2 linked regions of the Astyanax mexicanus genome follow. The protein of the gene in region 1 binds, or shares a complex with, the protein of each later gene. Links are inferred from orthologs where the notes say so. Each region holds a gene or a part of one and is shown on either strand. Other genes may lie near its edges. The genes, in order: sike1 and slmapa.

What was found.
Region 2: the proteins of sike1 (region 1) and slmapa are in contact, whole or in part, in a crystal structure (PDB 6AKM), measured with the Homo sapiens proteins. The link is inferred for Astyanax mexicanus from reciprocal best matches to the Homo sapiens genes SIKE1 and SLMAP. Residues at the interface, in NP_079349.2 of Homo sapiens: Ile5, Ile8, Leu9, Ala12, Lys13, Leu16, Leu19, Arg20, His22, Asp23, Ala26, Glu27, Leu29, Val30, Ser33, Ala34, Leu36, His37, Val40, Met43, Arg44; in NP_001291349.1 of Homo sapiens: Leu168, Tyr171, Leu172, Glu174, Ala175, Arg178, Glu179, Met181, Leu182, Lys185, Thr188, Leu189, Leu192, Leu193, Ile195, Thr196, Ala199, Ser200, Thr202, Ser203.

Annotation. Positions count from the first base shown.
Region 1 is NC_064420.1:39,057,326-39,074,124, reverse strand, and holds the start of sike1 (suppressor of IKBKE 1), read left to right. Parts: upstream 1-9,888; 5' UTR 9,889-10,171; coding exon 10,172-10,330; intron 10,331-14,998; coding exon 14,999-15,104; intron 15,105-15,201; coding exon 15,202-15,344; intron 15,345-15,444; coding exon 15,445-15,558; intron 15,559-15,857; coding exon 15,858-15,977; 3' UTR 15,978-16,799. Other genes in the region: si:ch211-197l9.2 (protein SOGA1), read left to right, coding at 1,776-1,822, 2,954-4,400, 5,409-5,561.
Region 2 is NC_064431.1:3,491,056-3,507,613, forward strand, and holds the start of slmapa (sarcolemma associated protein a), read left to right. Parts: upstream 1-7,909; 5' UTR 7,910-9,517; exon of another isoform or gene 9,518-9,602; 5' UTR 9,603-9,694; coding exon 9,695-9,892; intron 9,893-16,558. Other genes in the region: dennd6aa (DENN/MADD domain containing 6Aa), read right to left, coding at 3,268-3,310, 3,518-3,556, 4,890-5,123. UniProt on the Homo sapiens protein: Associates with the striatin-interacting phosphatase and kinase (STRIPAK) core complex, forming the extended (SIKE1:SLMAP)STRIPAK complex.

The sequences.
Region 1 (16,799 bases):
GAGCAGCTTCCTGTCACCACTAACAAATGACTAGAGGATGACAAACACAAACTGTGTAGAAACAGATAAGCTTCTTCCTCTGATCTTATATCCACAAGTGGGAGCATCTAGAGGGTCTAATTGAATAGACAATTAATGTTTAAAATTTCCATTAGGGGGTCATAATATTATTCTTGATCAGTATGTATTAGAAATAACTAACTATCTCACTAACTAACTAACTAACTAACTAAATAAATAAATACATTGAGTATATATAATCCTATTTTACAATACCTCGAGTTAAGAACCGAAAGTGCCTGTTTTATGTTAGATAAGCTATAAAACCTTACACTGTGTGAATATTTATCATGCCATATACAGCAGGACCAAAAGACCACTCCAATATATTAGATTAGTTCCCTTTAAGTCTGTTCTTTGGAAATAAACAGAAGGAATTTTAGAAATTCTGCCAAAACAAGAAAAAAAAAGTTATGAGAAGTAAAATATAAAAAATAATATTTAATCTTCAAGTGCTGCCTCTAAAACAAAAAACTCATTATTACCGAATGTGTAGTTGAGATGCCAGTGCTACGTACACATTTAATACCAGTTATTATTATGCATAAAAAAAAACATCATACTGCTCATCCATTGGCCACGTTTCAAACTGTCGCTCAGGAAACGAGGGAGTTAGGCACGTATGTGTGAGGATGGAATTTAGGCTAATCCTCTGTTGGGACTGCAGTACAGTAGGGCAAAGCGCAGACATCCACTGCAATCGGGACTTCAGGAAGTGTTTAGCCAGAGCACACTGACCACAGCCAGCACTACACACACGATACAGAACAAAAAAACAGTGAATATGAATTACACTGAGGATGAAACTTACAACAGGACATCATCAAGCCTCAGTCACACGCATGCAAAATCTTTAAAATAGAATTTGGGTGTAGTAAACGACCACAGTATACAGATGAACACACTGTAACTAACTGCTTTGGGGAGAAATGAGGCTTGAGTCTTCGGAATTTGTCCAAGATTTTTTCTTGATCTCTGAGTGTTTCTGCTCTCACTCCTCCTTACTTTACTGACTGTAATCCCTCACTCTCTGACACACTTTTCCTAAATAAAATCGCCATTTTCCAGTAGTTTGTGTGAACATTGCTAGCACAAACTAAAACTGTGGGCTGCCAGTAGTGCTAGGAAGGGTAATTGAATTTACTCCATATATGAAATGATGTTTTTTAATGCTAAAGTTTTTAAAATGAGGTCAAAAAAATCCCCATATTTTACATATAAAACCTGCATGAGTGAATCTACACTTTTTATGCTTTACTGAAATATTATTATTAATTATTATTACTGGAATTATTTTTGTACCTTGTTTAATATAAAAACTGTTTATAAGGTTAAAATAAGTTACTTGTTATTTATTTATTTGATTTATAAAAGTTGAAGTGTGCTTATACAGTTTTGACTCCTTTGAATATAAATGTCTAAGAAACACTACTTTGCAAATTTGATAGCCCTAGATGATACTGTTAGTTACTATGTTTTGGCACATATAAAAATAAAACAAACTGAATAAAACTGTCATTCCTCAGCTGTAATATAATTTAAATATAATATATATAATTGATACATAATTCAGAATATCTCTCAGCCCTAGCTGCCTCCATACCCACAACATTCAGTATCAAAATCATACTTTGAGGTTAGACTGCAATTAAACCTACTTTTATTATAAATACAAAATCTTTAACTAAATTGTTGTCATGTCTGCTTGTTTCCAGTCTGATGGATGTAAGACTCCATTGAAAGAAGAAGAAACCAACAACAGGTCAGTTCTATCTCTGTTATTTTCTCTATTCACATGTGTAGCTTTCGTAACACATTTCTTAACCCACTGTGATCCACAAACATGCTGCTCATCTCAGTGTTTCTAATAAAGTGGCAATCTGTAGATTGTGGGTGTCAGAATGTGTAATTACAATCAGCATGTGGAAAATATTAAATAATAATAATAATAATAATAATAAATATTTTATATAAAATCTGGTGATATATTTTTGCACTCCTTATTAGCTTGCCAGCTCTCTTCAGTTCTAACGTTGCCTTCCTGTGGTTTACTGATGCAGAAATGAGCAAAGACACTTTGACAGTCTTATAACCTCATGCTCTCAGTAGCTACTGTAGCAGCGACATTATCCGTGTCACAGTTGAAGCAGGTAACTAGCAAAAGCTGATGGAAAGACATGTGACGTTGCCAGGAAATTTCTCAGAGAGAACTACCAGACCACTCTGTTTTTAAAATGAATATATTTGGTTGTGCACAGCTGATAAAAGAAGCAATTTGATACCTTATATTAGAATATGTTGTCCACTTCACATTCAGGAATACTACTGCTTTCAATTAAAAAGAAAAAGAACTTAAGGACTGGAAGCTTTAATATCTTTGTGATCATATAGTGCAGAAATATGCTTAATTATGCTTGATTATCTCTTCTCAAAATATTTCTAAAATATGCATATGCAGTACTATGAGCCTATGAAAAGTGTTGAAGTTTCCTTGCAACCCAGTTCCTGATTTTTTTTTTTTGATTGACAAAGAAGCCATTTAATTTAAAGGCTGTATTTAAAGTTATTCCAGAATTATACAATAAGTCAGTCCAGTCCAGGTCAGTTTCACAAAGAATATAGAGAAATGCTCAAATCCACCAATCACAGACAAGAGGAAAACAACAGATACACAAATACTGCAATTTGACATACTAGTGAGTTTGTGAAACTCAGAGGGTTAGATTTTCATGAATTGTTTTATAATCAGTGTAGTTCTTGTGAACTTCTGCATTTGTGACTAGTGTTCATAACTGGACCTGTAGCACATTTCTTTCACTGCTCAGGTAATCCAAATTTGGTCCAGAAGTCATGGGACGGTCTAGCAACTAACAGTAATTAATTTTGTTCACAGGACGACTCCCAAAATCTGCCAATCTGCACGTTTTTCTACCAAGAACTGGTTGTACCTCAGTCGAGAAGCAGCTCTTATGGACACAGAAGATCTCTGCAAGACCTGGGACTGTCCCATCATGCCTCCCAGCTTCCCTAATATGAACCTAAAGCAGGAAACAGCTCAGAAGAGCCACACAGCTCCAGAGAGAACCACACTGAGGATATACTACAGTCCTCCCTCAGCACGCAGAATCCACCTCAGTGCTGTGGCAGTAGAAGATCAGGATGAGGGTGAGGAGCCTCGGGATCGGCCAGAAAAAAACTGCCACCGACCTTCATCTCAGCATATCAATGGAGATTCAACCACTGTCTACGAGAGCTGGCTTGGGACTCTACCTCTGGAGTGCAATAGTACAATAGAGCAAGGTTCAGTTGCTGCCATTAGAACCAGCTCTTCTTCTGGTTTCCAAACGCATGGACTATCGTCTCCATCTTGCCTGCCCTTCAGTTTAGAGGTTTCAGCCAACATGAGTGACGACATGAAGGAGATGACAGCCAGTGTCCTTCAATCTTCTCTCCCTAGCACTCCAGAGAGGAGGAGAGGGCGGGACTCTGCGAGCCATATTGTGGGACTTATCAGCACAGGAACCCAAACGAACACTCAAGTTCAACCTCAGGTGAACAGCGTGGGTCTTCAGACCGAGGGTCCTCGAAGCATGTATGCCGGGAAACACTGGTCCCCCAGGGTGACATCATTTGTGTCTGGTCGTGCTCAGCCAATCTCTGCATCCCTGGAGAGGATGTCTGGGCCAACAGAAAGGCTACCAGCTTGCTCTACCTCACCTAAACTCAACCGAAGACACTCCACCTCCTCTCCATTTTTATCTACCTCTTCTTCCTCCACCTCCTCAAATTCCTCTTCTTCCATTACCTCATCTACCCTGTCGTCCTCTTCATCGTCATCTTTAGCCATTTCTTCCAGGCTGGGAACTTCCAGGGAGCGTGGTTTATGGAGTATCTCTCAGTGCAGTTCCAGTTCCTCTGCCTGGGGTCGTTCCAGCTCAACCAGACCCAACTCAGTGTCCGGGGGAGGCAGCGATAAGCCCGCTGGCCGCAAGTCCGCAGGGATCCATAAGTACGGTCTGGTGCAGGAGTTTTTCCGCAACGTGTGCGGCCGTGGAGAGAAACCCAACCCGGGAGGGGAGAAAGCTCCAGCAGTTCGTAGGGATCACGCTGGTTCAGCAAGAGTAAAGAAAGCAGAGGGGCCTACTTCTCGGATTCCCAGCGTACCGCTGGTGCGGAGCGACAGCGTAACCAGAATTGTTAATCGCAGGTTTATGAAACAGGGTCAGAAGGATGAGCCAAGGACTGGACAACTACAAGCTCAGGGTCAGTGCCAGGGTCAAAGCCAGGGCATCAAGACACCCATCAGTAAGGACAAGGGACTTGGTGCTGTCACTCTGGAGGTGAGTGGAATGTAGGGGCTTACAAGGTGATTATGCTTATCATTCCATCCAGTCCAATTTTCGACTGTTTCAGGATGAATTTAATTATTTTGTGTAGTGTATTAGAAACATGTTTTCTTTGGTTTTCCAAATTTCCAAATGTTTTTTTCATTCTTTTCCCATACAATCTGAATTTAAGGGAAAATAATAAAAAGTATTTTTACTCAGTTCTCTATTTTTTTTATTTTGCTTTGCATCTTGCAACAACAATAGGTTGAATTATATTATCAGACTGGAGGAGAAAATTGAGTAAAGATTATTTCTTCAATTTTATGTAAAATGGTATGGAAGAAATTAATGAAAATCAATTTCTTTTTTTCCAAATGGAAAAAGTCAATAATTACATCTAATTTCCTACTGTAATAAATGTTAAACTAACTTTGCAAATATGTCCGAAAGCAGTTATCAGACTGCATTAGCCTTGAAAAGCAACAATTGATAGGTATCTATTATACACTGCCATGAGACAGGATCTAGTATTGTGTGACCTACAGAATACTACACTGACATACGGGATATGCATCTGGAACCTACTGTATTGCATATGGATGTAATGTCTGCTAGTGTCGTTTGTGTGTTTGCACAGACAGTTTTGGCCAGATGCCGCCAGTCAAGATCATTACCACCCACTGCACTGTTGACTGTGGGTGGTAATGCCTTATATAAAGTGCTCCTAATACACATGACACTGTGGATTGAGAAATGTTAAATGCCCAAAAATTCATAATGCCTTGCCATGAGTATGATGGCTAGTATTCAACTTCATTCACAAAACAACACAGATATGGCCATTCCCAAGCAGTTTTCTGCATGATTAACATGATTAGCTGACAAACTGCTATCCCATGACTTGTGGCACATCAGTGTATATTATGGTTTTTTTTTTTCATGAATGAAATATTTAGTATATAAATATTGTAAAATTGTTCTTTGGTCTGGATTAAACATTGTATATTTCCTCCCCTATAGGACGGCCCCTGCGATTGCAGCTCTAGAACTCTAGCATCCTGCTTCGCTCGAGCATCTCGCACCAACTCTCGCCACGCCCACGGTCACTGCAAGCTCCGTCCACATGAATACCCCACAGCAGCTGCTGGGAAACGGGATCCGATTCCCCAGTAAGAGGCGGAGTCACCGTGCACACTGATACCACTGCCCAGCTGACAGGATTCTTTAGAGAGGTGGAGAAGAGCTTAGAGCAGCCTAGATTGTGATGAGGGGAAAAGAACCATGACTCAGTATAAGATATATGGATATATGGATATATGGCTTTCTCCTCCACTTGCCAAACTTTTCTCCTTTTATATGTAGAAAGTGGGTTTCTGTTGGATTGACTGACCTAATTATAGTGTTTAAGTTTAGTGGTTTTAAATTGATAAGTTTTACATCTATGTATTTTCCATGGTTATAGTTATAGTATATTTTATGTTTTTTACTGTTATACAATATTTATATCATTGCCAACAGGCTAAAACCTTGTATTTTCATTTTTGCCACTGTTACCATTTTGCCCTATTGTAAATCTGGCTGTTGTTCTTTATATTGTGTTTCAAAAATTGATGATGAATGGACTGATAAAAATAAAACAAAAATTACACTAATTTTCATTAACTTCTCCTACAGAATAAACATGTCAATGTTTTTTTTGCCTGACTGTATGTACATATATAATGGCATAGAACTGTTAGATGCCTTAACAGTTAACTGTCTTAAATGGATATTAAAGCCATATTATAGACTGTAAATAAATTGAATGCTATAAATCACACTGGTTTGTTTCTGGCTCTTGACCATAAGGGTCTGATTAGTAATTAGATTAGTTTATATGAAAGAAATGCTTATAACTTTGTGGCCTATTGAATGAACTGTACGCCCTCTACTGGCCGTTTGACTGTCCAACTGGGTGTAATTTCTGACCATAATATGAATGGATGTGGATGTAGATGTGGAAAGTTGCAACAAAAAAAAAAAAAACCTGGTATAAACCGATTTATTATACTAGAAAATACTAGAAGTCCTGGATTACTTTTTATGTATTTATTTTTTGATAAATACAGATGGAGGCCAAAAACAGAATAGTGTTAGCAAGCTGGAAAAGTCAAGTCCCTATATACATGCTAGTCAGTCCTGGCTATAGCCTATTTACTCATACACATACTCATACTCTAATTTCCCAGACTTGCAACTATTTTAATTTATTTTAATGTATATATTTAACATATATTAAAGTACATAAAAAGTTATATTATTATATGACACATTTGCAGATAGCTTTTATTTTATTTTTAGTGGTTTAAACAATTCAGCACAGTCAGCAATGTCAATACAATCTCGAAAACCTTATTATTTATATATAATAATTACATTTAATTACCAAATAATAGTATATTTATATATTAACATATAACAAAATACAACATAACTTTAAAAATAGGTATTATGTAATATATTCTTAGCTTGGCTTGGTGTTTGTGTGATGTACACAATAAAAGTAATCAGTCTTTTTTATTTTATTTTTAATATAGGAAAAGTAATTTTATAAGAATCTAGGAATATAATAATATATATTTAACATATATTAAAGTACAACACGAATAAAACAAAAAATAATTCGTATATGATAGATTTGCCGATGGCTTGTTTTAGTGGTTTACAAAATAAAAGTCGTCAATATCACTTTAATAAATTAATACATTATCGGTAATTTAACTTTTTAATTTATGATTTTTTTCACATTCAATTAGCTAAAATAACACTTGGCTTTATATATTTAACATAAAATAAAATACATATAATAACTTTTAAAAATACGTATTATATTTTATACTTGCATTTGTGAGATTTACACAATAAAAGTATTCAATAGTACAATAAATTCTCTGAAATTCAATATGTTATTAAAATCATTTTATAATAATTTAGGAATATAAAAAAGATTAAGAAGGAGTCGTTTAAACTATTAAAAATGGAAGAATTACATAAAAAAACGTGTTCATGATCAGCTCACCGGCAAAAGATGCGGAAACATGGAACGCATGATAACAGAAAGGTTGTCCTACTTTCTTGAGCGTCAGAATAGCTTTTCTCCTTATCAGAGTGGTTTTCGTAGGGGCAGAATGACAATGGACTCAATCCTAGGTTTAGAAGCGGATATCAGGAGGGCTCAGCTTTATAAAGAAGTGGTTGTTGCTGTATTTTTTGATATTGAGAAGGCTTATGATATGCTGTGGCGAGAAGGTCTGCTAATTAAGCTGTCTATGCTCGGAATCGGAGGGAGGATGTACAACTGGGTAATGGATTTTTTAATGAATAGGTCCATACAGGTCAGGGTGGGTACTTCATGTTCTAAAGTGTATTCTATTGAAAATGGGACTCCGCAAGGCAGTGTCTGTAGCCCTATTTTATTTAACATTATGATCAATGATATCTTTTCTGGGGTTAGTCCTGACATAGCAAAATCTTTGTATGCAGATGATGGGGCTCTGTGGAAGAGAGGGAGGAATCTATCCTTTGTTAAGCGAAAGATGCAGGAGGCAATTGTTGGGGTTGAACACTGGGCAAATGAATGGGGATTCAAGTTATCTGTGGCTAAATCCCAGGTCATCTATTTTTCTAAGAGATCAAAAACAAATGAACTTGGGCTTAAATTGTATGGTCAGACTCTGGAACAGGTGAAGGTAATCAAGTTTCTTGGTTTGTGGATGGACTCGAAATTGACCTGGAAGCATCACATTATGAAGATCATAGACAAATGCAAAAAAGGATTAAATGTCCTTAAATGCTTGGCGGGAAGTGACTGGGGGGCTGACCGTTCCTCTCTCCTGTGCATTTATGATGCTCTAATTAGATCGGTTTTTGACTATGGCTGCATGGCCTATAGATCAGCTGCTGAGTCTAACCTAAAATTACTCGATGTAATTCAAGCACAAGCTCTGAGATTGTGTTGTGGTGCAGTTAGATCCTCCCCAGTGGCTTCTCTACAGGTTGAAACAGGAGAAATGCCTTTGCATTTAAGAAGACTTGCATTGTCTACTGTATATTGGTCCAACCTGAAGGGGCACATAGAGAGCCATCCAGCTGTGTCTGTTCTACATGATTGCAGTGCTCCTCTTCATGGTCCCTCAAGGAGTTTTGGGTGTCTGAGCAACTCAGAAGCAGGCGAAATGGGATTGCAGGCTCGTGCTTTCAGCAGTACTGTTCCTATATCAGTGGTACCACCTTGGCTGTTCCCATTGCCTAGGGTTGATTTTTCCCTCCTTAATAAAAAATGGAGTGATGCAGGAAGTACAGCTGTTATGGTAGAACAACATCTGGCACTTAATTATTATGGTACTCTGCAGGTGTATACTGATGGGTCAAAGGATCCTACTGTGGGTTCCACATCAGCAGCGTTTTTTGTGCCAGAATTTCATGTGGTTGTTGGTAGGCGACTGTCTGATAACCTATCTGTATTTTCCTCCGAGCTTGTCGCCATTCTTTTAGCATTGCAGTGGGCTGAGGATGTTTGCCCAATGAGGATGGTGATTTGTTCAGATTCTTTGTCTGCTTTACAAAGCATCCAGTCTGGCAAATCTAAATGTAGACAAGACCTAATTTTAGAAATATCTCAGGCATTATTTCGTTTACACATGCAGACTATTTTAGTTCAGTTTTTATGGGTTCCAGCACATGTAGGGGTGGACGGTAATGAGACTGCTGACAAAGCTGCTAAACACTGCCTGAAGCAAAATAGAAGTGATCTCAATATCCCTCTTAGCAAAGCTGAGGCAAGAGTGGTTGTAAAGCAACATGTTAGAACATTATGGCAGTCTAATTGGGAACATGAACCAAAGGGGAGGCATTTGTTTGCAATACAACCGAGAGTTGGTTTTGGAGGGAGTGGAGGGTACGGTCGGAGGCAGGAAATTGTACTAACAAGGCTCCGAATAGGTCACAGTATGCTGAATGCCTCTTTGCAAATTATACAGAAACACTCCACAGGGCTTTGTCGCCACTGTCCGCAGAGGGAAACCGTGGACCATGTTCTTTTTTGTTGCAATAAATATGCTGTACAAAGGAAGATTTTGTTTTCTTCTCTTAAAGACAAGGGTCATAAAGAATTTTCTTTGACAGGATTGCTTTCTTATGGGGCAGGGATGGGGTCGGTTCATAAACTGGTTTTTCAATATTTGAAAGCTATTGGTATATTTTGCTTTATTTAGTTTTTTTTTTTTTCCCTCTCTCGTTTACTTTCTTTTAGTTTTATGTACTTATTTATGAATTTCCTTTCACCTACATTTTGTTTATTATTGGCCATGTCACTTCCCGAAATCACACTTCACACTCCTGCTCAGTAGGTGGCGGTAATGCACCTTCAGTTGGTCTGCCATCCGCCATAAACCTGAAAGAAGAAGAAGAAGAAGAAGATGCGGAAACACGCATAGCGCATGCGCAGCGGTGGCCTGGAGTCCCTGCAGGTTTATCTTGTCTATCTGCTGTTTGTTTGGCTACAACAGTTCAGTAATAATCCCGTTTCTGATTAAAACTAGGACACGAGGCAGTAAATATGTAGGTTAGCTGATGAAGCTGTATCGGTATTCAGTTTATTAAGCACTGAAGGTCTGTATTTAGAGCTGCTTTTCTGTGTTTACAGTAACTTAAGTTTTGGCAGCAGATCGACACAGGACACTCCCATACTGCCTATATCTGACTGTAGTTTCTGTAGCATATCAGTAGGTTACCTACCTGCGGACATGTCCTGCACCATGGAGAAGGTGCTGTCCGACGCTCGGACTCTGTTGGAGAGGCTGAAAGAGCACGACACGGCGGCGGAGAGTCTGATCGAGCAATCCAGCACCCTCAGCCAGAGGGTCCACAGCATGAGGGAGGTGGGGAACGCTCTGCCGGATAAGGTAGGTTAACTAGTCCAGCAGGAGCCCTGTATTCATTTTTTTTTTTTTTTTAAATCCTACATTAGTACCATAAGTTCCTGCTCATGAGACACAACTGAAGATATCACACTTTAATACAATGTAAAGTAGTCAGTAAACAGCTTTCTCTCACAATAACTCAAAGCACAGCCATTAATTTTTTTTGTTTGTTTTTGTATTACATAACAAAAAATATATATACTATACACTCCATCCCCCAACCCACAAAATGCCAGACATAATACACAAGTGCATTTACATAAAGTCAGGCATGCATATAAAAATATACATATAGTGTTTACATACCTAAACATATATATAACACATGAGTAAATTAGGTTAAGTAATTTTAATACAGTAATTATAGAAAGAAGTAAATTAAATAACAATAGGAAATATTAAATTGACAAATGCCATTAGCATAGCAATCCACCAACTAAAAGTTTTAAGTCTGTAATTGAATAAAAAAAAAATCACATGGACAATCAAATCAAGAGCAAAATATATCAACATATACAACCCCTGGCAAAAAGTATGGAATCACCAGTCTTGGATGAGCACTCCTTCAGACATTTCATTCTGTAAAACAAACTCTGATCAAAAACATGATACAATAATAAGGTCATTCCAAAGTGCAACTTGTTGGCTTTCAGGAACACTCAAAGAAATGAAGAAAAAACATTGTGGAAGTCAGTGAATGTTACTTTTATTGACCAACCACAGGGAAAAAAATATGGAATCACTCAATTCTGAGGAAAAAAGTATGGAATCACTCAAATTGAAGGTAGAAAATAAGGACACACCCAGTCAATTTCCTTTCCCTAAATGGACACCTGCCTCAGATTAGATCTGCTCGTTAGTCTGCAGTTAAAAACACCTGCAGTCATGACACCTTGGAGGGCTGCTGGACGAATTAGAGTGGCAAGAACCATGGCTCCAACAAGAGAAATGTCTCTTGAAACAAAAGAGAGGATTGTGAAACTTCTTGAAGAAGGTAACTCTTCACGCGTGGTTGCTAAAGATGTGGGCTGTTCACAGTCAGCTGTATCCAAGATATGGACCAAATACAAACAGCATGGAATGGTTGTTAAAGCCAAGCGTACTGGTAGACCAAGAAAGACATCAAAGCGTCAAGACAAGCAACTTAAGGCCATTTGTCTTGAAAACCGAAAAAGTACAACTAAACAGATGAAGCATAAATGGGAAGAAGCTGGAGTAGGGCTGGGCGATATGGAAAAAAATCTTATTACGATATAGTTTTTCATATCAGCCGATATCGATATGTATCACGATATAAATCAAATCACTTTCTGTTACACTTAAAGGTTTCTATTTTTACTCAGAAGTGACAGAATAAGGGAGTTATGGACAAAATCACTAGCAGGCTCAGAGCCTTGTGGACAGACACTAGGATGTTAACATCTTGCCAGGTGGGTACAGCTTTTAAATTAATTTTAAAAAGGGGACAAATATATAAACTAAAAAATATGTAAGACCCTTTACATTATATGTCTGTTTAATTTAAATTGCAATAACACTTTATTTATTTTTATAAAATTATATTTAATCAAAAGATCATTCCCCTCCCTGAATGCAGGCAACTACATAAAGCAAAATACAAGAGTATATCACAGTGTTCATTTTGACAGGTGATTTTGATACAGTCTTAGTCTTTTCACTAAAATGTATAATAGTTTTAGTTACATTTTAGTCTATCGGATATTATTAGTTTTAGTCAGATTTCAGTCTAGTTTAATTTTGGTCATATAAAAAGTATGTATTACATATGTTTTACTGTTTTTCTATTTTCTATTTGTTGTAATTTTAGATAATTTACTGCTTATGTTTTTTTTTAAATAAGAGCCTTTAGTTTTTTTTTCATTTAAATTAAGCTAACATTTAAATATTTAAAAAAAAAAGTGGCCTATAATGGAGGTGGGAGGAATAAAGTCAAGTTTCTGAAATGATCCACTTCTACTGCAGTACAGATTTATACTAACATTACTGGCTTTCAGTAGACTAGACTTACATTACTTAAGTGTATTTAAAACTCCAGTTCAGTAACAGCAATGTTTAGCTCAGTTCAAATACAGCTAGACAGATTATATAATCTTCTGTATTTAGTAAAATATCCAGCATAACAGACTCTCTATCTGTTAAAAACTATAAAACACAAAGACAGAGGAGAATGCTGCCCTCAGGGTTTTCTAACAGAAACAGTGAGAGTTAGGAAAAAAGATGGAAAGTGCTTCCTTTCTGTGTGTTTATATACTAACCCCTCACTCGTGCTGAAGTTAACCTTAATTTACACGAAACGTGGATTAACACGGCTAACGTGCGTTACCCATTAGTTTATTAGAATGTAAAAAGCAGTGAAAGCATCTTAGCTAATGATGACAGATTGCACAGATCCCTTTTACACCTAAACATCGCTAACTTTAAACTGGAGACAAGCTAATCTAACTAGCAGCAAACAGAGCAGCGTTTACCTGCCTTCAGAAATCTGAACAAGCTCACCTCTCTAAATATCTTGGAGACGCATGCCTCATATTTAAAAGGTGAGTTTTCCAGTGTAGCGCCGCTGAATAGTATAAATGAAGTTTATCCAGTAAATGGGAGAGAAGGAGCCGCTATGTGAGGAGTTCAGAGTGGAGGGGCTCGGGGGGTGGGGCGGAGGGGGATGGTGGAGAGGGGAGGGGAGGGGTTGTACTGGGCTGAGCAGCAGTTCAGCGTGCTGCCTGATCTCGTGCTGCGCCTTTTCACAACGCTACTTAAACGGGAAATAGAAAATTTAGTTTATCGAATTTCTCGCCCCGACTTATCGCGATATATAGTTTCCTCGATAACTATCGATATCGTTTTATCGCCCAGCACTAAGCTGGAGCCAATGTATGTGACCGAACCGTAAGAAATCGCCTAAAGGAAATGGGATTTCAATACAGGAAAGCTAAAAGAAAACCATCATTGACACCTAAACATAAAAGAACAAGACTGCAGTGGGCTAAGGAGAGGCAATCATGAACTGTGGATGACTGGATGAAAGTTATCTTCAGTGATGAGTCAAGAATCTGCATTGGACAAGGTGATGATGCTGGAACTTTTGTTTGGTGCCGTTCCAGTGAGATTTATGAAGAGGCCTGCCTGAAGAAAACAACCAAATTTCCACAGTCCTTGATGATATGGGGCTGCATGTCAGGCAAAGGCACTGGGGAGATGACTGTGGTTAATTCTTCTATCAATGCACATGTTTACATTGACATTTTGGACAGTTTTCTCATCCCTTCATTTGAACAGATATTTGGAGATAATGAAATAATTTTCCAAGATGACAATGCATCGTGCCATAGGGCAAAAACAGTGAAGGCATTCCTTGGAGAAAGACACATTCAGTCGATGTCATGGCCTGCAAATAGTCCAGATCTCAACCCAATTGAAAACCTGTGGTGGAAATTGAAAAAAATGGTCCACAAGAAGGCTCCGACCTGCAAAGCTGATCTGGCAACTGCTATCAAAGAGAGTTGGCACCAAATTGATGCAGAATACTGTTTGTCACTCATCAAGTCCATGCCTGTGAGACTGAAAGCCGTTATAAAAGCCAAAGGTGGTGCAACTAAATACTAGTGATGTATTTTGAATCATCTTTTGTTTATCTGTTTTTCATGATTCCATACTTTTTTCCTCAGAATTGAGTGATTCCATATTTTTTTTCCCTGTGGTTGGTCAATAAAAGTAACATTCACTGACTTCCACAATGTTTTTTCTTCATTTCTTTGAGTGTTCCTGAAAGCCAACAAGTTGCACTTTGGAATGACCTTATTATTGTATCATGTTTTTGATCAGAGTTTGTTTTACAGAATGAAATGTCTGAAGGAGTGCTCATCCAAGACTGGTGATTCCATACTTTTTGCCAGGGGTTGTATAAACATAATAAATGGAGGGGAACATTTATGTTAACAGTCTTTGCAGCCTTGCTATTTGTTACTCCAAGTATAGTTTGCATATACATTTTGATTTTAAAATGTGTTTTTTTTTTTTGTTTTTTTTTTTCAAAACATTTGAACAATCTCACAATACAAAAACAAATGTAATAGGGTTTTATGGGTGTATAGAGCTTCACCGGTTACTTCTGGAATCCTCTTTCACTCTTCCACTTGATGAGACCACAGAGCTGGTGGATGTTAGAGACCTTGGGCTCCTCCACCTTTCATACTCGGATATAAAATAGTCTCTTTACACATATTGAAAGCATGTGTGCTGGGATGTGTCTCTGAAATATAAAACTATTTTTGAAAGTACAAAATAAAAGTTTACATAGAAAATATTTTCTATTGTAAAAAAAAAAAAAAAAAAAAAAAAAAATAGGAAAATATTTAGATAATATGGGCCTTTCCTTTAAACTTAAACTAGTGCCTAAAACCATGATAGTTCGTAAACCCTTTAAAATATTCTATATTTAAGCATTAAATACACCTAAAACACAAGTCTTACAACTAGATAGGAATAACCAAATCAAACAAATGAGAAAAAAACATATATAAAAAAAGAACTACTAGAAGACACACAGTTAACTAATCTATATTTGCTTTAGAAAACTAATTTTTCTAGGACAATTGTCAGTACATATTTAATTGTTCTCTTTTATTCTTTCAGTACATTGAGGAAAGTGCTGGATACCAGGAGCTGTCCAAATACAAACCCCACGTTCTTCTGACTCAAGAGAATACTCAGATTAAGGAACTTCAGCAGGAGAACAGAGGCATGATTTCTACATTTCTCACATACAATATGCAATTCTAAATCATAGCATCATAATGAGTATTTGCTTAATGCTCTTTTTTTCTGCTGTTCCACAGAGCTTTGGCTTTCCTTAGAAGAGCACCAGTACGCACTGGAGTTGATCATGGGTCGATACCGCAAGCAGATGCTTCAGTTGATGATGGGCAAGAAGGAGCTGGACACTAAGCCTGTGCTCAGCCTTCATGAGGACCATGCTAAGGTGAACTATAAAGGATATGTTATAATACAAGCTTTTACAAATGTGCAGACTATATATCTGGTACACTCAGTACACAACGTACTTCTGGTCTTTGGTCTAGGAGGTGCAGAGTCAGCTGGAGCGAATATGTGAGATGGGTCAGGTGATGCGTAGAGCGGTACAGGTGGATGACCAGCACTACTGCTCTGTCAAGGAGAGACTGGCTCAGTTGGAGGTAATGTTTCAGTCCATGTCTGTTGAAAAGGCATATATTGGCTGGTCTAGGAAAAACTCTTTCAGATGACATACACCTTGCAAGTGTATTAAATATTTAAAAAAGCATATTCTGTCTTGAGGTGTTGATTTTCATATTATTTTGATATTAAAGGGAATGATATGGGTTTTCCTTGTCTCGCCAGAGTGTTCCATTAAAAGTCAAGTATAGCAAATTATATTTTATTGTAGTTTTGTAATACTATGCTGCATTATTTTGTATGTTTTGGTGCAACTGACTACATTTTTATATTTGTTCAGATTGAAAACAAGGAGCTACGTGATCTCCTGGCCATCAGTAAGAATACCCTGAAACCACACAGAGAAGAGACCAGCCAACCCAACGCAGAGCCAAGCCCCAGAGTTACTGACGCTGAATGAGTGCACCCAAATACATGAAGAGCTGCTCTATTTTGAAGCTACAGTTCAGTAGCTTCAACTTTTTCTGTTGTACCATCTCAGGACACGTGTTGGCTCGTATCTGTGTGGTAATGTTTATAGTGTTGACCCTCCTGCTGCCCACTGGCGCACATTTCTACAATGTAGTAACAGAGGTAGATTTGTTTTCAGATTTTTTCTCAGGAAAGATGCACAGCATCCTTTCATTAGTTGACCGCCTGTCACATGCATGTCTCATTTTTTGTAGTTTATAAAATTAGCATTATTTTTAATTTTGCAGTGCCTTGTAAAATATTCAGCACTTTGGGAAATCTTCAGACTTTGCTGTATTGATACAGATTTACATGGTAAAATGAAAAGTACTGCTGAGCTTCTTAGTGTTATATTTGGACATTTGTTTAAATTAGGTTTTCAGTCTAATTAAACTTTTTTTTTTATTGGACCACAACCAGGCATGAGAAAATGCCATAATTGACTCTTTACTAACATACTACTACAATTGTTCATTGGTTTCTTTTCTTACTCCCAGTACTGTGGTATTAGTTTGGATGGTAGTAAATGAGCTGGCATTTAAATTCTGATGTAAAAAGTTAGAAAAACAAGCTAATCTTATAGATTATGCATGGCACACTCAGCCAGCCCAAAAAGTGTTTTTTCCCCCCGATTTCTAAAAATGACTAAGAACAGTATCTGTGTATTTTTTTGTATCTGTGATTTTTAATATGGCAGATGTTCGAAGCATTTCTGGAGGTGGGAATACTTTTGCAATGCAGAATTCCCATTTTTTGGTTAATATAATAAAAA
Region 2 (16,558 bases), on another chromosome or scaffold:
ACTGCATTTATTTAGTATTTAATATTAACATTCTCCATTGATTTATATCACAGCAACAGCTCACTAGAAACCATGACTGTAGCCATAAATCACAGCATAGCACTGTTCGTAGCAATTTGTAATGGGTTGGGTTAGCTTTTAGCCTAGCCCAGCTGGATTCCACTATCAGCTCACTCATGTGCTGAACTGTGCTTTTCGTGGAGACACTATTCTGTCTGTGCTTCTAATCATCAAATCCAAAACACTACCTGTAACAGAAGAGAGCATCCCCAAGAAAGCTCCATTATCGTATTTCAGTAAGATGAGAGGAGGATCGATATGACAGCAGAGGCTGGGGGAACACTACAGCGTAAGGTTTACTGTTCCAAACACAGATAGTAGCAGCTATTCATTAACAACAGCAGGCTCAGGAGTACACTACCCACTATACAAATACTCTACTGCTGACACAGGCAGTATGTATATTTACACAATTAATAAAAGCCTATTATTTATGATTGTAAAATCGTAAAGCAGAAAGGCCAACATACAACAGCAGGGCTGGACTATAATGCATTAATTCGATTTTTTTTTATATTGCCACAAAAAATATAGAATATATAAAAGAATCTAAATAATGATTCATTTGAAAGCATGTTAACAAGCAAACAGATTTTTCTTTGGTGTAACAGAAGTGGTATTTTACTACAAATATGTTTTGTAGCATTTCTTAAAAGAGTCACTAAACCTTAAACCATATTTTTTCCATTAACAGCTGAAATGTGTTCTGTTTAAGTAATCAAACATACCAGTCCTGCTTAAAATATTAATAAACATTTTTTTCACCTCTAAAAAACACTTTTATTGTGGTAATTTCTGCCTCTGCAGCGCCCTCTCAGGTTCAACTGTGCTATAGGCCAGGATGATGTCTGCGAGTACATCACAATATGCAGATCAGTCGATCAAAAACACCGCCCCCTGCTGACGTCCAATCATCTGGGTCTCACCGCTATCAGAGGCACACTGCTTCTGCTGCAGCTCAGCCAATCAGCTCTCTTTCCTGCCCCGCCTCTAAACCCATACCCATCACCCAGTACCTTTTACTTTAAAGGGGTTTAGTGCCCCTTTAAAGTGAAAGTCTGTACCTTTTAGGGATTTGGGAATTTAAAGACCTCTCTGGTGAGAATGTGTAATTGCACAAATAATGTGGAAGAGTACTTTTTATAAAGGTTATAAAAGCTGCTGTGTAATATTCTGTGTTGTTAAGGATATCCTTCTGTTCATTTTGCTTATTCCTGAAATATTATCAAACTTTAGAACGTCATACCATCCAACAAACCTACCACACCACTCCTACCAGTATTTAGAATTAATATATCAGACATCACATAGACGTTTGTGCCAGGGCACTGACACCAATAATTAGCATATTTTGTTTCCAGCCAAATCAGAAATCCTGTTTTTTTTTTCAATTTAAAATACCTCCAAGATAAAAAATCTTAGGGATAGTTGCTTTAATACACAGAGTTTAGGATCACACTGGCTGCTGCTGCACTTCTGAGTTCCCACTACAGAAACACGATCGATGATGCAAATGTCAGTCAGATGCTTTAGTTTAATAACAGGAGTTAATTAATTATGAACCAGCACCAGAACCAACCCTCCCTCCCTCCCTCCCTCCCTCCACATCACCATAACCACCATTCATTATAAATAGCATACACTTGGGAGAAGAAGGCACACAAAGGCTGCACACTGAGTCAATAACAGCATTACAGACCTTCGCTGAAGATAAGTGGAAAGGAAATGCAGTCAATTTGCTAAATGTTGAAACATGACTGTAAAGGCAGATCTGCAACACACAATCAGCCGGCCTGATAACTCAACATGTGATCATACAGACTGACAGATCACTGGACTTTGATATAATTACATCTATCATGATCCATGAAGCTTCAAGGCCAGAGTTGTTGTTTAATGCATTAATAGTACATTAGGAATTAGTAGATGTGTTTTTAAAAGCTAATCACCACACTGTTATTTTGCCTTAGAATACAACACACCAAACAACCTTTTTCCTCTTATGGTAGGCTCATTAAAAAATAAAATGAAATTAAATAAATAATAATAATAATAATAATAATAATAATAATAATAATAATAATAACGAATATTAAGCACAACCAAAATAATAACAGGGAACATTTGGCAAATTAAAAATAAATAGATGACAGTGATATGATGTACTTGATGGGACATTTAATCAAATTTTACATATCTTAAGCAATCACCATCTAGCAGCTTATCATTGCAATAAATTTAAAGTGTTATTAGTTATAAGTCGGTTTTATTATAAGCAGGGGTAATATTTCAATGGTCAAGCAAATGCATATATTATATTATAATAACAACGACTATCAATAATTAAAATGGCGATAAAATGATGGGATCATAGTTAAAGTGGAACAATGGCTTATGGCAGAAGTCCAAGCCTGTGTTTTATGTTAACTACAGAGCTGTGTGTCGAGTGTCAATAAAACAATGGTATCACCATAACTTTTTTTTAACAATTTGAAAGAAAAAAAAAAAAAAAAAACATGAAATAGAATGCTTTAAATATTACTATTATTTCAATGTATTTAGCTTTGTTGAAGTATTTCTTTTCATTACTGTTTAAACATGCATTAAACATTCTGAACTTTGGAATTGTGGTGCTTTTTGTTAAAACATTTTCATTGTAAGTTACTGTTGTTTATGCAATAAACAAATGTTTCTTTTTTGTTTCTACTGATTTTTTTATATCGTATAAATCCTAAAGAAAAGTAAAGGATACTCATGAGATGCATAAACAGTCTTCAGTGTTTTTTTCAATGTAGTCAAGAGTATAATTTGCGCAAAAATATCTTGAATTTGTAGTGTGAAGCAAGCTGACTGAATTGTCCCTCTGTACGTCCAAGCTGTGTAGTTACATGACTACAGTTTTGCTGCAATAATATGTTTTATTATAGAAATATGTAGTTCTCTACATATTCTCACCAATGTTTGACATTATTGGTTGCAAGGAACTCCCATGTAAACCCCTCAAAGACTCATTGGATGCAAACATCAGCAGTGACAATGGGTTTGCACTGTAGAAGCAATGTGGTAAAAAAGATTAGTATGACCCAGAACTGCAATGTATAGTCATTTCAGACTGATCCTGCAGTCAGTGGTGAGGTAGGAGCAAGTTTAATGGGGCAGAACTTCAACAAAACTGATGAACTCTCAGAGAAGAACTCTTTCGCTTACCTGAGTTGGAGTCTGGGAAGGACAAGTAGCAGATGCTGGTTTTCTAAAATAAGAAAGAAGTTGGAAACAAATTGTGTACATGTCAACCAAAAACATCTATAACTGTAAATATTTTTTCAGGATTTATACAGTTTCCAATATCTGAAAACATGTTAAACATACATAAACCATTTCTACCGATTCATTTTTGCAGTACAATTCCTACACCCTGACAGACCAAATGCATTAGATGAGAAGAAACAGTTCTTACCTCTTTCTCTGTGAGCTTTGAATGGTGAGGGTATATAACCTACAAAAGAACAGAATTAGAGCTCATTAAGACTCCAAAATAGTTACAGGTTATGCACTGCAAATCTTACTGTACGCTGTCAACTTGGGTCAAAATCTCTGATCTGGAGGGCTGAAGTCTCTCTGGCAGCCATTCATAAGCTTTGCTAGTCAGTGTGTTTAAGCAGAGAAATCACCAATATCTGAGGGACACTGGCCCTCTAGGACTGGAACTCTGAGAGTCCTGACCCTGTTGACTAATGGTGTCACTGTTTAACTGTCAAAACCAAACACAGGTAAACAGCAAGTTTAAAGACATCAGGATAGTCCATGGTTATGTAGCTTTGAACTGGTCATTTTAAATAGAAATGCTGGACGATATGGGCAAAATTAATATCACAATATACTTCTGCATATTCCGATATCGATATGTAAAAAGGTCACCACATGTATGAAATCACACACTGACAGAGTTAGGTGGTATAGTAAGAATATTATATCACAGCATTTGATAAATCAGACAAAAATTATTTTTATCTAAACAGCATCAAGAACAATCATGACAGCATGACAGCCACAAATAAAAAATAAAACTGTAATTTATATTACAGCAATTATTTAACGTTAATATAGCTAATATTAGTTAATTTTGATGTAATGAAAATATATAACCACAAAGGGAGGTAACATAAAACTTCCTCTAAATCTAACTTCTCTGTGTGGAAGTGTGTGTAGTTGTTTGTGTGTGTGTGTGTGTGGGTGTTTGTTTGGCTAACCTAGCTAGCCAGTTTAGGCTAACAGAAAGGCTAGCTACTGTTAAAGACTATAGATATTACCGTTAGCTTAGCCAGCAAGCTAGATTAGCTAACTACATTATTACATATTTAAAGACATTTAAAGTTTTCATGACTGCTAAATACTTACTTATTCATTAGATAGTAAACAACAACTAGTTTACTAGCTAATAAATATTGCTAAATATCTGTTAACATTCATTAATTAACAGACTATCTAGTTAGCTAAGCTAGCTTTAACTATTTAGCAGTGGTGGCAAATCTACATCCAGATATTAAAAATCCGTTCCCGGATTTTGTCTTAACTGCACGGCCACCTCTGCAACACAGGAGCTGCAGCAGAGCTATACAGACGGTTAGAACAAAAACATGGAGCACACTCGCTCTTTCTGGACCTGGATTTGCCATTTATAGCTATTTGAAGCCTAGTTATGGTTTCAGCTAGTTTCAGCTTGTCAGCTAACCATCCAGGCCACTCAAAATAAACCTATTTATCATTACCTATTCATTTTTTATATATTGTATTAATAAAATGACACATAATAAGATGAATATGATCACCTCCACCGCCTGTCCGAGCTCCAGATCAAACCCCACCACACAGATGCAGTGTAGCCAGGCGGAGAAGCGGTCCCACGGCAGCAGCAGCTGCTGCTCCGGCTCCGGCTCCGGCTCGTCCTCTCCAGGCCCGTCCGCTGGCATTTCCTCCGCGGGAGAAATCTTCAGCTCCCGGTCCTCGCCCTGCTCGGCTTCTTCCATCCGCTCCTCCACCTCCTCCGACCCTCGCAAGGCCATGACTGGAGCCCGGGGTGCCCGTTCGCTCGGCTCGGACTCACTTCGAAGGCTAAACTAACTTAGCCAGCTAGCTTAGCCCACTAACGCTGCGGCTCGTATTCCTGTATTCAGAACGGCGCTTACGCTACCTACGTACACTTACAAAAAAAAAAGCGGATAACGCAGCAACGTACGGTAGATAGCTCAGATCTGCAGATCACAAGGAATCGGGTTAATACTGTGGACATGACTTGTAGATCGCAGAACTGTTAAGTTTTAAATAAAATTATTTTATAATAATCTAATTGTACAGTATATTGTACAATTTATTGACCTTATAACAAAAATAATAAATTATTACAAACAAATAAAACATGGGAAAATAAAATAAATAACACACAAGGCTTTCTGTTTGTCAAAAATGCCATCATAACTTGGGTAATTTTTGGGTACTTTGGGTTATTAATCATTCTAAGACAGTTTTATGTTATATTATACTTTAGCCATTAAAAAAAATATATATATATATATATATATATATATATATATATATATATATATATATATATATATATAAAATATTTAATTTTACAGCAAAAAGATATGTTTTTTATTTTTAATTCAAAATATTAATATATATATATTTGTAGTGAAAGTTATAATCAGAGAGAGGACCAATAAAAATATGTTTGGTTTGACTCTATAACACATATTATTGGTTATTATGAACAAAGAAGAAAAAACTCTATAGAATCTGAAGGCTTCCATTTCTTCTTCACAATTGTTTGTTAACAAATCCACCACAGCTTTTTAGAAATGTGGGTTATTAACAATTATAATGCTTTTTATGATTTATTTGGTCGTATTCTTCAAGACTTGTTCTTTATGAATATAATACCAATCATAACAGCCACAATTAAAAATGAATAAAACAATCTCCACCCTCATTAATACATTATAGGTTATACGTTATAGAACAGTGTCTAATGTCTTCTCCAATAATTCTCTAAAAATAAAAATATATATATTTTTGGTGTGTTTTTAAACTTTAAAACTTTGTTTTGACCTGAAATATAACAAGCAATATAACCAGCTGCTCTTTATTTTGTGTAAAAAAAAAACATTGAAATAAAATTTAGATTAAAAATAAAACTCATAGCAAATATTTGATTTTTAGTTTTCCAATTTCCCAGATATGCTGATGCAAACACGGAATGGAATGGAATTTTATTGTTAGAAAATATTTCAGTCTTTTCTACATATAAACACGTACATGCTTTACAGTTTCAAAATTTAAGAAGCTGATTAATATCTGAACTTCTGTGCAATGACTCAAATGTAACACATACTTCATTTGCATAAATAATAAATCATGAACACACTTACTAATTTGTTCTAATTCACTTCCTCGCCAACGCACGCATGCATCTCAGAGACATTTACCCAGACAAACAAACAGAACAAACAGAAACTGGTCTCAGTCTGGACTGCATGCAGACGGAGCTAAACCCCTTATCGTTAGTTTATTGGGGAGTGGAGATGCACTGTCCTGAATATCACAACTGATTCATCCTATAAATCGTCTAAGACCCTCTGGACTAATAGGATTAGCTGTCCTAAGATTTTGGACTTCAGTATGCTCTGCTGGGTATGACAGATGTTCTGTCTAACCCATGACCCCCTTAATGAACTTGAAGCTAATGTTTTAGTGATAAAAACACTTTGTTTGGCCTGTTATAATTATCATAATTGTAATCTCATCACTTCTAGTTTGATGCTGCTCAGCAGAGGCATCTGTTAGCTGATGTATCAGAACTAGGTTGCTGTGTGATTATCCAAACTATAAAGAAAAATATATGGAATTAGTTTAGCCTTATCTGAGTAATATTCTAATCCATATTATGGCAATAACTTCTTAACTAAGTAAAGAAAAAATATATATGAAGGTCAGTCAATCATCCTAAAGTATCCTAAAGTACAGAGGCAAAGACTATCAAAAATGTTATGATGAAACTGGCTCTCATTAGGACCGCCCCAAGAGAGGATGAGCAAGAGTTACCTCTGTTGTACAGGATAAGTTCATCAGAGTTACCAGCCTCAGAAATTGCAAGTTAACCCCTTAAAATGCCAGGTGTATGTGATCCAAAACCCTTTTTCTGCAGTAAAATAACTTATTTACATTCTGAAAATGTGTGGGCTTTGAAATCAGTAACAGAAATCAATCCCAAATTCTGCATGTTTGAAAATAGACGCAAAAACTAGACAAACATAACGAAACAACAGGTTTGGAGGACTGTTTGATTTGTATTCAGAAAAATATTGATTTTTAAAAAGCAAGTCAGGAAAGAGCCAATTTTATGAATGTATTCATTATATTTTGACATTAGCAGATTCACTTACTTATTAATACAATCACAATTATGATTTTTAGTAATGTCCCTTATCAAACATATAACAGCCTAGAGCACCTAAAAAACAGATTTTTTTATTTCTTGGAGGAATATAAGGATCAGTTTTTTTCAGTCACTGTACTTTTCGTTCCTTTTCCAATTTCTATCTTTCTTTCTTTCTTTCTTTCTTACTACATTTATTTATATTCTGCATTTAAACGCTGCACACTGTAGTAAGGGCTAATACACACAGTGGGCGGAAAGAGAGTGAGTGACCTATCCAAGAACCTCATTTGCAATTCTAATAATTAGCATGCCATTGGTTAACTTGGTCACCCGATCTATTTGGTGATTGGACAATTATTTCGCATCAGCGCTGGTGTTCCCTCCCTCTCTCTCTCCTCTTCGCGAGCCCCGCCGGTTTGTGTATTCCACTCCAGTATGGCGGCGGCGAGTTGCGGAGGAGGATAACCGGAGATAAGTTAGTCTGAATAGCCGCTGACGGACTCGCGGACCGGCTGGAGCACTTTACACACCTTGCTTAGAGTCTCCGGGGCGCGGAGCCTCTAACGGACCCGGAGGCCGGCCTGCGCGTGGCGGGGAAAGGACCAGAAACTGCTGTTCCGTGTCTTTTAGCTGGCTGGCTGGCTAGCTAGCTTAGCATCTTGGGCTAGGCTAGGCTGGGCTAGCCGCGAAGCTAGTGAGCTACTGCTGCTAAGCTAAGCTAACAAGCGGAGTAGGGGGGATTTTGTATCGCAAAGTTTATGAGTTAAGGAATTTGTTGTGCATTTTAGAGCTTAGACTAGTCGACAGCTGGGATTATAAGAGTGTTTTTCCACAAATTAAAGCTAACTAGTTAGCTTTATTAGCCTCTACCTCACATATTTTGCTCCTCTTGTCTAGCTAACTGGCTTTTTGGAAATCTCGTTAGCTAGCTAGGTTAGCTATTTCTTGCTAGCCTGCTGCCCAAGTTTAAACCATAACTACGGAGACAGGTAGCGTTAATAAGTTAACTAACAGTTTGTGAACATGGAGACCAAACAGTTTATTCTGTATGTGTGAATGAGCAGCCCGCAAATAAATCAATTTAATCGGATTAAATATCCTATTTTGAAGTCTTAAGCGATTAAGACTAAATTTCAAAGATGTTTAAACATATTTGTGCCTGAATTGTGTCTAAATAGCTAAGCAAGTGGTGGGTGAGAGCTTGACATTTACAGTTAAGTTAGTTAACTATTGAGAGTAAATTGTTTTTTGAATTTAACGTTGGCTAACTGAGATAACTAAATACTCGATACAAGTTACCCAAGTGTGTAAGACACAAGTTAAACTAACTTAACTAGTTCTAACAGAAAATATAGTTAGTGAGTTGGGGACATAAACATTAGCTAGCTAAATTTCAAAGTGGGCAGTGGTTAACTAACTTGAGCTATTCCAGTTTAGAGAACTTGAGTTGACCTCTTAACTTAGTTAGCTGCTTGTTATTTAAATGCACTTGAATTGAACGAATTCCTCTATTTCATTTATTGAAGCACCAACAAAGACGACGGATTATTTTGATAGATAGCTAAATAGATAGTAACTTACACCTAGGTTGGCTAGAAAGCTTGCGAAGCTGTAGGTTTAGTAGCTAAGCTAGTGTAGGTTTACAAACCTCAACACAACAGGTTTCTTGCTACTAAGTTGACTACCATAACTAGCCAGCAAGCTAGCAAAAGATACAAGCCAGATTTAACGTTCAAGGCTACATTTAAGGCTGAATCTGTGTTTTTGTGATCCTATGGTTAGCCACTTAGCTAGCAAGGTGGTGGAAGCTCATATTGTGAGAATCTGAAGGTAATCGTGGCCTGTTGACGTTTAAACCCAAAGCAATGCATTTTTATGGCCGTGTGGAGAAGGTGCAGTCCTAGCTATAGCTCCATCGCCTTGGGTTCTGTTTGACATCATGGTGGATTTGCGAGAAGAAGGGGAGCAGGGGGGCTTGGCTGGCTCTTCCTTTGGACATTAGCGAGCTATGTAAGCGAGGTTAGTTAGTCGATTTGGAAATATGTGCATGTGCATACGTTTGCGTTACACGAGCCAAACACGATACCGACTGTTTCCCTAAAAGATAGGAAAAGTGGAAGGATTGCCATTCTGGATCAAGAAGCCCTGCCTTTCGCCTCTGGTTGGAGTAGCACTCCCAAGCCGTCGTCTTCATCCATGCCTTCAGCGCTGGCCGTCTTCACCTGCCGCCCGAACTCGCACCCGTTTCAGGAGCGTCATGTCTACCTGGACGAGCCCGTCAAGATCGGGCGGTCGGTGGCCCGGTGTCGGCCAGCCCAGAACAACGCCACTTTCGACTGCAAGGTGTTGTCCAGGAATCACGCTCTCGTCTGGTTCGACCACAAGACAGGCAAGGTGAGTCGTGTGTGAGTGTGAGAGAGTGCTTTAGGCATGCACAAACAGGTCCAGCTGGATCATGTGTATGAAATAGCAAGCTTGCTGTGATGTTTTTGTCCCAAATGAGACCCGTTTTGATTTAGTTAACTAACTAGCAGGTTGCTTTTTCGTGACTGCCTGCTGTGGTTTTGTGATTTTCTTTACGTTTTACTATACTGACTTGTTTGAACTGTAGCTAAGTATACTACGTTTCCAAAAGCACTACCTTACCTATCCAAATACTTGAACTCAGGTGTTCCAATCACTTCATGGCCTTGCACATTTGTGCAAGCATGGTTGGCTCTTAGGATCTCAGTGAATTCCAGTGTGATACCCTGATAGGATGCCACCTGTAAAACAAAGTCCACTTGGACAATGTCCTCACTACTAAATATTCCACCGTCTACTGTCAGTGATGTGTTTGGGGAAGACAGCAACTCAGTCACAAAGTGCTAGGCCACCTAGTGCAAGTGGATGCTGATAGCATAGTGCATTTAGTGCATGTCTAGTTTCTGTACAGTCAAGTGCTCCCGGCCTTCAAATTTTACTGCCTTCTTATTAGCTTAAAGACGGTAGTGTGTAGAGAGGGTCATGCAATGGGTTTCCATGGCTGAGCAGCTGCATCCACGGCATACATTACCAAGCTACATCACCAAGCACAGTGCAAAGCATGGGATGCAGTGATGTAAAGCATGCCACCTCTGTACTGGACTGACAGCTGCCAGGAGGACCTGTCTCCGTGCATTGTGCCAAGTGTCAAGTTTAGTGGAGGGAGGCTTATGATGTGGGACTTCCTTAACTTCCTTACTCTTAATGCTTTAGCATACCAACAGGGTTGGAACTAATTCTTTCTCTCAACTTTATGGGAACAGTGTGGGGATGCCCCATTTCTGTTCCATAAATATTTGGATGGACAGTTTGGTGTGCAAATAACTTGACTGGCCTGCAGAGAAACCTGACCTCAACCTGATAGAACACCTTTTGGATGGGAAGACGCGAGGCAGGTCATGTGGTTTAAAGTCATTTCATAACGGCAAGGATTGTCTTATTTAATGTTTTCCTGTGTGCATAATTGATTGATTCAGCACTGATCACATGTAGCCGTGCAAGCAGCTGTTTGGTCTTTTACTCTTTGAAAATATATAGGAACAGGACCAATGTCTTGTGTCTTGTGTAATGAGCACAAAATGCTTGTTATGAACTTTGCCATAGCTGTCTGATTAGGTGTAAGTCTTAGATTTGAGTTCCACCTGTGTAGTTTTTAGGTACAGTCTATGAGCCGAAAGTGTTGTATTTTAATAATTCTGTCATCCAAAGTAATATCTGATTCAATATTTTCATAATTGTAAGAAAATGTTTAGTGAAGGGAACTGATTAGTCCGTTTCTACTCATGTGTAGGTGTGTATGTGGCCGTTGGTTCTCCTTTTCTCTTTGAATGTATAGAGGAACTGAACCCATGTCCTTCAGTCAACCAAAACAAGTTTTTTTTTACAAACTACTCTACCTTTACAGATTGGTTTGTCTGTCTGGTATATGTCATACATTTAGGTTCCTCTTGTGCTTTTAACACTCTTTTAAACCCTTCAGGAATGCTGCAATTGGTCCTCTCTCTCGACTGATATAGAATCCAAACCCATTCTTTCAGTTTTGTCTAGTATATGAGGTCATGTCATAGATATGTGTTTCTCCAGGTAGTAAAAGCCTTCAACATGCTTTTAAAACCCTTCAGAAATGTTCACATGTTGAAATTCCTATTGTGTTTCCAGATACAGCTAATCAGAGTAAAGATGTAGAGGAGACTATAGCTTTAATTTCACATTAACCATGTTTTTGAGCATTTGAAGATTTTATATTAAGCCTTAATTAATAATATTCCAATTTTTTATTTGAACAATTGTCCGTGTTAACGTAATAATGGCCGACTTTGATCCTTAACTAGATTGACTGCGCAGTCAAATCTCTTAATCTGTCTGTTCCAGGGTTGCAACAGTATTAGCCTCTCACAACTATCGCACTGGAGATATTGCCCATGTGGATTATGGTTGTAGGGCAACTGTGTGCCAGCTTCACTCAGCTGTGTTGGACATTTCTCTGATGAGTCAGTGAATGGTGACCTCGCTCTCAAAAAAGAGCACTGAGTGGTTGGCCAGGTTTAACCATTAACCTGTTTTCCATATTCAGCTCTTCTGCTAATGGATCAAACCTGGCTTCTGTAGACATTAGGAAAGATCTTATTACTTTGATGGCTTCGTGTGTCACAGCTGCCAGTACAGGGATCATTTGAGTAGCATGTAGAGAAATGAGCACAGAATATCTGTGCCAGGGGTACTGCCCTGTGCAGATTCAGCAAAGCCCCAGCTCATCAACTTATGATCAACTCTGTCATGAGTTGGATCAGGTATATTGGGACAGGGAATACCCCAACCTGTGTTGATATAGCATTACGGCCCCAGTTATCTGGTTTATTGGATTATCGGATGTGGATAAATCGGCACATAAAAATGCAGGTGTAAATACACTTATGGTGCATTTAAAATATACAACATGCAAATCAAGTAACTCGGACCGCTTAATAAATTGTGTGTCTAAAATCAAGATATGACCAGCTAGTGTTTAATACCTTTAAAAACAAATGTCTGCTTATTTGTACCATTGATATCGAGATATTTTCACTGCTTATTATTCATATTGGTAATAGCCTTTTTAAGTTAGCAGAGAAATGCTTTTTTGATCGTTTTTATTTTTTGGCAGGTGTGCCTACCATGAGCAATATCTGTAAAGCCAGCAACCTTGATGAGTCACAATTGATTGAAAAACATGCAGCTGATTCTAAAGTAAATGCCAGCTCAGCAACAGTCAAGGGCCATCCATGTTAGGGCTGCAACTAATGATTATATTGATAATCGATTCATTTGTCAACCTTTAAAAAAAAGTTGAAACTGCCACCTCATTTCAGGTTGAGCGTAAACTTGCTGAACTTAAATGTACTAAGTATCTTGTATAACTACTTTAGCAGGCTCTAGTAACTCAGAGTGAGAAAGAATTAGAAATTATCGCTAACATTAGCTTGACTAAAACTATGGATTTTTTGGAACTGCTAGTAAAGCTGTCACCTTTGAAATTTAAAGTGAAATTTAAAGTGCAAGTGAAACTTGGGGGGGGGGGGGGAATGTTAATTCTATCTTGTTTAACTACTCTAGCAGGCTCTAACATTAAGTGAGAGAAAAATAGATCTAACTTAATACAAACTTACTGTGAATCTCCTTCACCCATGGCTCCAAAATGCACACTGCCTAATGGTTCTTTACTGACATGACTTTGGTTTTGCTCAGTGCCCCAGCAACTCTACTTATGTGTATAATAACGTAGACCTGTTAGTGATCTATTAGTGATTGTTGTATCTAAGTCAGTAATAGGTTAAATAACATTTCCTTTCAGCCCTTGATCTTTGTGTCTAGTCATTTGACACACTTGAAGATGCAGTATGTTCAGCAGCCTCTTTGTGCTGATATATGGATGATCTATGAATTACATAATTGAATATGTAATTACATAATTCTCCATTATTATTAATAATAGTGGTCTTTATGTTTACTCTTCAACTTTGATATTAGAAGAACAGGCATAATTGAAGTTTGGTCCTTCTTCAGTTAGGTTCAGTTGAGTGCACAGTAATTATAAGATGAATTTCAGCCTTATCTCTATCTGACTCATCTGTAGTATACTGTCAACAATAAATGATGATTTGAAATCAGAGAAGAAAGCCTTCTGACTCTCACGTGTGTATTGGCTTATATTACACTGTGTTTTTCAGTCAACAGGTTATCTTGTCTTTTCTAGGTACAGGGAAGCACATCAGAATCGCTCTGTGGAAACTGCCTGTACACTACCGATGACGTGGCATGTAGAAGTTGGGCTGAAGTGGTGGAGTGATCTTTTAATAGATATTTTCTCTGTTCAGTTTCCACTTTTGTTGCATCGTCAATGATTTAGAAATGCTTCACTGGCCTTTTTTTGTGTTTGAGTATTGAACTCTGGTGCCCCTGCTGCACAGAATAGGCCTGACTTGGTCAAAGACAGTACAAGTGGAGTTAAGATGTCAGTCAAGAGCCTTGGGGATTTGGAGGTTTCCGTTTAACCCATTTAAATCATGGCCTATTTAACAGCTGATTAAGCTGTAAGCGTAACATTGTGCACAATGACCACATGTTTATATATACCATACTGCCAAAATGTTAAGACCACTCGTAGATAAATTGAATAACATTGTGTCTTGGAAATGACATTTTGGATTTTAGATTTTGCATCAAATGCTCAGCTGAAAACATGAGCCAAAAAAGTATTTTTTTGGCTTATAAATAGGTGAAGGCAATAAAGGCTATTGGGTGGAAGTGACATGGCTTGATGACTATGGCTACTGTGTGTCATCAAATCGCATTCTTGCTGCAGACCAGTCAGCATGCTCATGCTAACTCCAGTCTGTCTAAATAATGCTAAAAATGTCATTCTTCATTCAAATTATCCAATATCAGTTTATATAATAAACCCATGATTGATTTTTAAAATCATAATTTGATGCTCACTCCTAATCATTGGGCACGCAAGGGCCTCCTGCAATGAATGTGGATTGTAAATATGAATAATGTTAAATACATTTAACAAACCTCCCATCAATCTGGCGTCCACTATCAGGCCTCGCTCAAACTCCATATATTTATATCTTCTTGCCATGAATATGCTGGCCAGTGATCAACCTCACAAGATAATGCCTCACAACCTTCAAAGGTGTGGGCATTTCCTAGCTGTCCCCTGAGCTAACACTCAAATATCAATTCATTTACATACTGCTGGCCCATTACTATTGGCAATGTCAGTGTGTAGTTTACTGTTAAAACACAGTTCCTAAAGCCATGCTCCTGTTTGCTTCTTCTGGTAACATACATAAAGTTAGCTGGCTCATGAAAGGTGGAGCTTTTTGAACTACGAATCTTGGACCATGTTAAGGCATCCAGTTTAATGGTTCACTTTGTTCCACTTAAAAGGTAGAACATTTTTTGAATGCCAGAATGTTGGGGGTAGTTTTATGGTCTTCAGGAACTGGCCTAATAAATTTAGTACCTCTTGAACTGGAACTGGAGTCAGCCTGACCCTTTTTAGATGCACTTCTTCTGTTTGATCTCTAGTTAGTTTGGTTGTTTGCTAGTTAATCTCTGTTTGTAGTAGAGTACAGCTCGCTAGGCGATAATCCACAGATAGAATAAGGTGCCAAGACAGCCATCCCAACAGTGCCAATGAGGAATTACCATTCAAGCGCACACATTGATGCTTTAGCATGCCAGCATGACCACCTGTCTGCCTTGTGCTACGAAGCATTTGCATTACAGTAGATCTGTCATTCTCAATTGTCTATTTTAGGTAGGGCTTTTTGTAAATTTTTACAAGTAAAAAAAAAAAAAATTTACGTAATCAGATTGGTACAACATATTATAATTGGAGTTTCCAACCACTTCTATTTCTTGTCAATTTTGAAAATAAAACCAAAAGAAAAAAAGCTTAGAAAATCCCTGGCTGTTACAAAAGGTTGTAATTATTGGTATAAAATGGATAAGTTGGTTTATTGTTAGAGAAATATTTATGGTATTTTTCTGTTTTGTCCATATCCAAAAGTGTTTTTTTTTCGCAAAAAGTATTTAATATATATATAACTTTTTACATACATTAGTAGTTTTTAACAATAAATGGAAGCATATGGCCTCCAGTTAGCAAATGGCCATATTATTATGGCAGTAACTTCTCCTATTCGTTCTTTGTGATGCCATTTAAAGTAGAACTTAGACCTATATTACTGTCTTTACAATTTTTACAATCTAGCTTTCTAGGAATACCTTGCTTTCTGAATTTTATGATCTTCACTATCACGGCATTCGACCTGACTGGTTTTATTCATTTGGACCCTGTTTCCGATTTCTCATGGATAGCTACACTGAGAGCTTGGCACTATTGTAAAGCCTCAATCTAGTGGAGGTGTGAATTCTGTAGCATATTGGAGCTTGCTTGCTGACAACTAGAATATGGAGGGAATAATTAAGTACAGCTTTATGACTGCCTTAGCAGGATGCTACACGTTTATGCTGCCACCTGTACAGGCCATGTGTGTCTTGTGTAGATTTGGCTTTTTCCTGCTTAATGAAAATCGCCTATTCTGGTCTAGTGTAGCATATACTTTTTAAAATCCTATCCAAATGATTCTGTAATGTAAAAGCATGTCTCAGTCTTTAGATTAATGGTAATTAAGTTTGGTCTTTTTTATTTAATGTATTATTTAGTTTTTAAGTAATGAGACAAATTGACCTGATTTTACAGATCTTTACAAACTGGGCCTTTTCTTATTGTAATACCCCTTTTAATTGAAAGATAAAGTTGATAGCGATCAGTTTAAATGCCGTTCACATTGACGTAAAAAAAAAAAAAGACCAGTAACTAAAATATATATATATAATATAATAGAATGTTATATAATATAATAATAATCCCTGCTTTAAGCATTTTCCATCTGATGTTGAGAGTAGCATAATATTTTGTATATCAGTTTTGTCATTGGAATTAGGGGTGGGCGATATGGCTCTAAAATAATATCACGATAT